2 separate regions of the Mus musculus genome follow, and region 1 is reported to be linked to region 2. Evidence: microRNA targets listed by miRTarBase, many of them from high-throughput screens and not tested one by one. Region 2 holds a microRNA gene; the other region holds the end of a gene's coding sequence. Distances are from middle to middle.
Evidence for each region. The annotated mature microRNA mmu-miR-1952 reads UCUCCACCCUCCUUCUG and lies in region 2 at 2,525-2,541, opposite strand. An mRNA with a match to its seed (bases 2 to 7 or 8) in the 3' UTR can be bound and repressed. Matches are read on the target gene's strand: a 7mer-m8 pairs with bases 2 to 8, a 7mer-A1 pairs with bases 2 to 7 and ends in A, and an 8mer does both.

Region 1 (4,022 bases), 75 Mb from region 2:
AAGCATCCTTCTCTTCGGACCTCGGGGTACAGGCAAAACACTTTTGGGCAGATGCATAGCTAGTCAGCTAGGGGCCACGTTTTTCAAAATTGCCGGTTCCGGACTCGTTGCAAAGTGGATAGGAGAAGCGGAGAAAATCATCCACGCCTCTTTTCTTGTGGCCAGGTGTCGCCAGCCCTCGGTGATTTTTGTTAGTGACATTGACATGCTTCTCTCCTCTCAAGTGAGCGAGGAACACAGTCCAGTCAGTCGGATGAGAACCGAATTTCTGATGCAGCTGGACACTGTACTGACTTCGGCTGAGGACCAAATCGTAGTCATTTGTGCCACCAGTAAACCAGAAGAAATAGATGAATCTCTTCGGAGGTACTTCATGAAAAGACTTTTAATCCCACTTCCTGACAGCACAGCGAGGCACCAGATAATAGTACAGCTGCTCACACAGCACAATTACTGTCTCAATGACAAGGAGTTTGCACTGCTTGTCCAGCGCACAGAAGGCTTTTCTGGACTAGACGTGGCTCATTTGTGTCAGGAAGCAGCAGTGGGACCTCTCCATGCTATGCCAGCTACAGACCTTTCAGCCATTATGCCCAGCCAGTTAAGGCCCGTTACATATCAAGACTTTGAAAATGCTTTCTGCAAGATTCAGCCTAGCATATCTCAAAAAGAGCTTGATATGTATGTTGAATGGAACAAAATGTTTGGTTGCAGTCAGTGATAACATCTTTAAAAAAAGAAAAAAAAATGTAATGAATGTTGGCACACACATAAAACCTGCTACATAGGGAATAGAGCCCCTTTCCAGTAGTGTTTCAATTGCTAAGGGTACTGGGGAAGACGACGATTATGTTGCATCTTTAGAGTCAGGGTAGCTTTGGAAGAAGCAGGCATCCGATGAGAGCCTCTGATTTGGAAGCCCCAGCTGACAGAAAGCATATACATGTGGATGCTCGGATCGGTTCAAGCTAGACGACACTCACCGAGAAGCAAGGTGCAAGTGTGTTGATTTCAGAAGGACATGAACCTCGTGTGTTGATTCCATTCTGCTGTTCTCGAGATTTAGTTGCTGTCAAGTGCCTGGAGTGGTGCTTTATTTTGTTTGTTTGTTTGTTTGCCTCACAATTACATTGGTGGCATGTGCTAATATAAAGAGCTTTAACTTCAAACACTATTGGACTAAAGAGATGAACGGTTGTGTTACAACAGAAAACCAGATTTTTTTGGCCATTTTAAGAGCAACCGTATTCCTCAACCCTGTCTGTTCTGAAGTGTTAGCTAAGAGCAGGTAAAACAGGGTAACGGTGATCTGGACCTTAATTTCTGCAGTTCATTTCTTTTAATGTTCTTGTCTGCAAAAACTCAGGAAAGTGATTGTGATTTGTACAGTACCTCAAAGGAATGTGTTAAAAGCACTATGTACTGCTGAGAGTAATAGGGTAGGCTTCAATGTTACTTTATATTAAAATGTATGTTTACCTCAACAATTGGAGAATAGCAAGGAAAATTATTTTGAATGTATCCAGAAAAGAAAAGAAAAATACTGAAGTGTGATACAACTGAATATTTACAGTTTAAAAGTAGAAGTGGAAGGATTTTTTTTTTAAAGTTCTCTTACTAATTATGGGGAATTATTAACCAGAGCAGAACAATTACTGAAGAGTTCTTAATGCATTGCTCTCCATGATGATTAAGTGGAAATGTTCATAGAAGTTACACTGGTTAATTGAAAAGCTGTGTCTTCAGTTTGTGTTGGTGTTTAGAGCAGTCAGCTGCAGACCTGTTTAAGACCCTGAAAGTGACAGAACCTACAAACTGTATCTGCCTTCTACTGCCATGGTGGAGGTGGAGGTGGAGGTGGAGGTGGAGGTGGTGGTGGTGGAGGATGTTTTGGAAGCTCTCTCCTAAACCTCTAGGGGAAGAGTCTATTCCACTCAGAGTTGCTAGGCTTACAGAGCTATTTCACAAAAAGCAGAGGATAGAACCAAATCAAACATGCAAACTTAAAAAAAAAAAAAAAAAAAAAAAAGCAACCAATCACAGGTATCTGCAGAGCACCCCCCACACGTGCCCCTCCCCCATGCCGCATCTTGACTTCGATCTTCAGAGTGCACTTTCGCTTCTCATCCTCAAGCCCACCCCCACCCCAGGCTGTAGAACTCCTACGTTCATTTCTACCTCAGTTTCGTTATGTTTCTTTTGGAAAGTCAAGTGAGAAATTAGACGTGGACATGTATACCACAACAGAGCTTGCCAAATGTGGGGACTTTTGCGTCCTGTTGTGTTTTCTTCCCTCCTTTGTCTGCTTCCCCTGTAACACCAGTCTTTATGCATTCTTTCACCTCTGAAGACTACCACACAGCAATGTGGCAGTCCTTTCTCACCCTGCCCCTCTGCTCCTGCTTCCACCAGGTTGTTCTTTGTCTTCTGTAATGCAGTATGTGCAAGTTTTCATTGACAGCTGGCTGAAGTTCACCAATGTCTCTCTTTCACTGTCACAGTGCAGGACAGAGCTTTCCACAGCCACTGCCTGTGCAGAATCAGAGCAGCCTAGCATTTTGAATGTATTTTCCTGTATTTTCCTGTTTTTCCCTCCTTTTCTTTTCTTTACTTTTCTTTTTCTTTTTTTCTTTCTTTTTTTTTTTATTTTGTTTAAATTTAGAGATGCAGTAATTGTTGCGAAGCACTGGCATTTTGTGTATTCAATAAGTGATGTACATTTTTAAGGTAATTTTAAATAAATGCAATGGCAGCCCCATGAAAGGTCTTTCTGTTATTTTTTTTTCCTTCTTTTTTTTTTTCCTGAGCTCATCTACAAGTTAATTCTCTGAAACACTTAACACAGAGAAACTGAATAAGAAAATGAACTCGTGGTATTTCAAACATTTTATGATATTTGATTAGTAATCTTTCTCTCTTTTTTTTTTCCCGTTGCTAAAACTGAGCAAATGAACTAGAATTTAATGGACTGTGAACATCTATCAACTTACACTGTTCTAAAATAGATCCCATATTTTAAAAGCAGTGCCTTTCACTAAGGAGACACAAATGATAATACTACTTAGATATGTCCTCTGTTTTTCACAAGTGAATAAATGCTTTAGTCATATTCCGGATCTACCCTATGCACTGCCCATGATAAGGAGATTCTAATATTCACTAACTTGTGAGCCCATATTGATCTCATTCACAAGTTTATTCTCTGTGCAGTACTGACCCATCTTCTCTATTAGAGCTCACACCTCATTTCCACCAATATGCTGTGCTCACTAATAAAGTGAAAAGTAAAAACATCTGGCACGTTTTGACAAACCCAATCCTCTTTAGTCAACCTTCGAGAACCCAGAATTAACCCACATTGTTTGGTGTGTGGTTTTCGGGACTTAATGCCAAATATATGAGATGACAGTTGTGCTTTGTTCTCACAGTACTGATAATAAACTGAAGTCATACATGTTGGCTGATAGCTTTAAATGGCTTTAAATTAGTTTGAGATATGAATGACTTAAAGATTAGTTTGAGATATGAATGGTCTGAGATCCATGGATTGAGCAGAAGCTTGAAATTACATGTAATTTCCACTTAGCCCACCCAGGTCTAGAATTATCTGATAGCAAAGCAGGCAAGTTGAAGAAACGAAACACTCACGCTCTAGCAAGGTTTTTAACTCCATGTGTCAGCAGTGTGAAAACTCCAATGGACTATCATAATCAGGACGTCTTTTCTGCCCATCCATTTGAGAGCTTGGGGGAGAACAAGTTCCAGATCTCCAGAAGTGAGCATGGATATTCAGCCCTAGAACAAAACTAGGTAATTGTTGGCCTCTCTTTGATTGCTTGGGATTTGGAGGAGGCTCCTAATGAGTGTAAGGTAGTGAACCAGTCAGTCCTTTCCAGTTGCAGGAGGAGATCCAGCCAGCCTCGTTTATAGCCCTCAATTCCTTCCTCACAACTGTAATAACATTTCCAACAGGGATGAAAAGGAGGAGGGGGGAAATACTTCAGGCAAAGGATCAATAGACA
Region 2 (4,152 bases):
CTCTTGCTTTTTGCATTGATTCCCAGGCCCATGTGGTTCACTCAGCGGGTCCCCTGCTAAGCTAAGGCTCACTAGAGTCTTACAGTATCTGTGTCTATGTCTGTATCTGTAACTATATCTGTATCCATATCCGTCCATATCTGTATCTGTATGTAGAAGAGTGGTTCTGATGCTTTGATTTAATTGGGAATTTTTATTTACTGATGCTGAATGTCCTTGCCCCCAGCTGGTTTTTGATCTATCAATAAATAGATAGTCCCAATGGCTCAGTCCCAATGGTTGAGCACAGGGTAGGACACAGAGTTTTACAGGTAGGACACAGTGAGAATCAGGGAACTGAAAATGAAGGAGGGGGCACAGTAGTAGCAGGAGAAAAGGCCATGCAGCCATGTGAGTTTTGGGGTAAGTGGCCATTGGTTATTTCCTCAATTGGGCCTAGGGTAGCAGGGAAAGGTTGAGGAATGTGAGTCATTGAGTTAGCCAAGGCATTTCAAGATTAACTGGAATGTGTATGTTTTTTCTATTTTAGGATCTGAGATAGCTCCTGAGTGAGAGAAACTTAAATCAGTTTAAGTTAAGAATGTGTATGTAAAACAATACAGGGATGGGGGATGGGATAGGGGATTTGCAGAGGGAAAACCAGGAAAGGGGATAACATTTGAAATGTAAATAAATGAAATATCCAACAAAAATAATACACTACATATATATGTATAATATTTCTTGTATGTATATGATTTCAGAGCTTTGAAATGTGTTTTATCATTCCTACTGAAGAAGATACCTTGCTGTATGAAATAATTTAATAATAATTTGTCATTGATCTGCTACCTAGTCCTGGTACTCAGCTAGGGAGAAAGATATAAGCACAGCTATAAAATATACTTCATGCTGGAGGGGTTCAGAGTTTGCTGGGAATTCCTTGAATTTAGAGATCACATAAGCTTTCTTTTTTGCTTTGTGACAGTGTCTCTCTATGTAGCACTTGCTATCTGGGAACTCTCTCTGATAGACCAGCTTGACTCATACTCAGAGAGATCCTCCTGCCTCTGCTTCCTGAGTGCTGGAATTAAAGGTGCATTCCACTACAGAAAGCTCTTAAGCCAAAGTGGAGAGGGTATGCTAATGGGGAAGGAAAAGCCGAAGGTGGATCTTTAGAACCTGATCAGGCATGAAGGGGAAGGTGTTTTGTGCTCCAAGATCCTAGAGAAGAGAGAGGCTACTTTCTCCCATGGCTTCAGTGAGAGCAGACACAGGGAATCAGGCTCTTATTATCATCTATTGTGACTGGGAAGAGAGCAAGAGCCGCAGTGACTTCTAAGAAAGAAAGTAGGACAACTCTGCAGCCAAGAAGTTGCTGGACCTGGTTTGCTTTCCTCGATGCTTTTCTCTTAAGTGTTTGAGAAAAAAAATCACATTGTGTAGTCAAACAAGGAAAGGCCAGGGTCATCTGCATTCCCTGCCCTGGGATGGGAGCTACAGAGTTCCAAATGACTGCCTCCCAGCTGAGGACTTCATTTCCTGGACTCCCTGTAGGACAGAGAGATCCAAGGAATGATGGGGAAGAGCAACACATAAGCACTTTTCAGGGACACTGCTCTTATATAACATGCAATGTATCTTGGTGACAATTCTAACAATGTGGGGCTAGAGATACACTTTTAACAAAAGTCAGCAGGCTATGAGAGGCTGAAAGTGGCCCACAAACGTGTGTCTTCCATCCTCATCCTAAGAGGGTGTTTGGCTCATTATGTTCTAGCCATCAGCCACTTTCTTCTCAGTTACATGACTCACCATCCTCCCAAGTTCCATCCCCAGTGAAATGGCTTGGCTGGCAGCCTTTCCTGGGGGACAATCTGCCTGTGGATTTTACACCTACAACAATCTGGAGTGGAAGATGCTCACTCCGTGTGTGGCTATAGTCTCAGGTCTCTAGAACCTTCGGGAAACGTAGTTTTGAGAAATGGTGCTTATGAATTTAAAATTATAGTCAGGAAACTCTTTGGCATCTGAGATACCTGGATAATTTTAGAAGATGATGTGATCTGGTGACCGAAGTTGGAGGAAAATAGGAAGCCTAATCATATTCCAAGCTCTTTCACAGTGCTCTGCAATCCAAGTGCAAATAAGTTCCTAAATCTTTTTGCATTGTGTCAAGATATGCATATACTTAATTTACCTACATGCACAACACATGCATGTGTGCATGCCCAGGAACACTCACATGCACTGTCCTTTCAGACTTTTTCTTACAACATAAGGAGATTGCAGTCAGACAGAGAAAACCACAAACTTTGAACAGAAGAAAAGGATGAAGTATGTTATATGCTGCCTTGCAAAGAAGAAAAATCTATTTTTAGACCTTGAATTAGCATTAACAGAAGGCAGAAGTGGGGGATATGCAAGAACAGGAGAAGCAGCAGAAAAGCAGAGAGGGTTTATGAAAGCCTCTGTGTGCCCTCCCGCCCCCCCATACTTCCATCTCTTTTGTCATCCACACCTTGGAGCAGGAAATAAGCCTGCACAGAAGGAGGGTGGAGATCAATAAGAGAGGGATAGGTGGCTGCAATATTTGCCTTGTCTCAATACCAACATTTATTTAGACTTTGTGTTTCATCCTGTTTGTATTCACATCTCCTGAAAATGGACTTCTGGTCTAGAAGAACTTTGATGAGAGGATGCTCTGGGGCATGGGATATGGGCCTGTAAAGAAGTGAGGAAGTGGGTAGTGTGCAGAGTTAAAATGCTGCCCAACTTTCCAGCCAACTCCAGCTCAAACATCTGCTCTAGAGGAGATTTGCCTTCACGTTTGTACCAGTTGAGACCAAAGGGTCAGGCACTGTGGATGAAGCAACCATCTCCATAAACACCCCCTACTAGAGGCAAAAACCTCATAGTCTCCTGAGGCTAACATCAATTTAACTTTCAGGTGACGCCCCTGTTGTGAGCCAGCATCAACTTCAGATCGAGTAGATAGCCTAGAAAAACCTCAGACCTTTGTAGATACCTAGTGTTTCAGATGAAACAGTATCAATGTGGGTTGCCTCTTTACTGTGGAAAACAAGTAGAAAAGAGAAAGCAGAAAGAAGTTCAAGTCAGGATGAGAACCTTTACCTCTTTAGAGTCTATGAGTATTCTGAGGGGCTGAGAGAGGCATTCAGCTTCAGTTTTAAACCTTACTAGCCCCTACACCCCTTCCCACACATAATTTCTTTATTCCTATGACTTATCTACTACCAGGTGAGAATTTAGAACATGTTTATTAACACACATTCTTTCTTTCTTTCCTTTTTTTTTAGTATAAAGTAGAGTTTATTCAGGGCATGGGAAGGAGTTGAGAGGGTAGTAAAGACAGAGAAAGGGAGAGAGAGAGTAGAGGACCAGCCATGAGCACCTGGAGAGAGGGGGAGGGGAATGGGGAGAGAGGAGGAGCATGAAGAAGACGACAGAGTGACAGCAAAAAGGCCAAGAGAGTCATACATTATTTCTTGATTGCCTTTGGGTCAACGAAAATGCCCTTGTACCTTGTCAGTCTAGAGCAACTATGTTTTATTCAAGGGCTACTGTATTAGTTACTATGACCCTATCAATTTACTCTTAAGAGAGCTTTGCATAGTTGGTATGGTGATATGGGATATGGGAAAATAATCTTCTCTACACATATGCTTCTACTCCTGACAACTTCCTAGCTCTGCTTCTTCACAGGCTGTTAGTATTTGTGTAGTTAGGGTCTCTTCTGCACTCAAACTTGAACACGTAGGTCACCTTTACTGTCTAGTCTCTGTTGTATAAATATATTAGATCTGTTTAGTGCAATGTTTGTGAATCCAAGGTCTTCACTTCTAGGACCATTATTGGAAACCCTACCAGCTTTATCAAGTAGAGAACATGCTGACAAAAGAAAGAGCGACTCACAGATGGAAGGAGGATAAGTCTTTGAACAAATGCCTGGTACTTAGGAAGCCACAATACACTACGGTGAATAAAAATTATATTTCTTAGTTGAAGCCACTAACATTAGGAGTTGGTTTCTGATACAAGTAATGATTTTTAAAAAGTGGGAATATGTATATATCACATAGAACAAAGACATGTTCTCTACCAGTCTAGTCTTGGTTTAATCCATGAGGGCTCGCCTCTTGAGTTGTGGGA

Region 1: the mRNA of Fign is a reported target of mmu-miR-1952. Seed matches in the 3' UTR shown: 7mer-m8 at 1,839-1,845, 7mer-m8 at 1,845-1,851, 7mer-m8 at 1,851-1,857, 7mer-m8 at 1,857-1,863, 7mer-m8 at 1,863-1,869 and 7mer-m8 at 1,878-1,884.

What each region holds. Positions count from the first base shown.
Region 1 is chr2:63,975,344-63,979,365 of GRCm38, reverse strand. It overlaps Fign (fidgetin), which reads left to right. Exons shown (of 4, transcript NM_001267846.1): 4 at 1-4,022. The coding sequence ends at 721. Among named protein-coding and RNA genes, the nearest start is that of Fign, 120 kb to the left of the region's middle.
Region 2 is chr2:138,818,332-138,822,483 of GRCm38, reverse strand. It overlaps Mir1952 (microRNA 1952), which reads right to left and starts at 2,555; the gene lies at 2,477-2,555.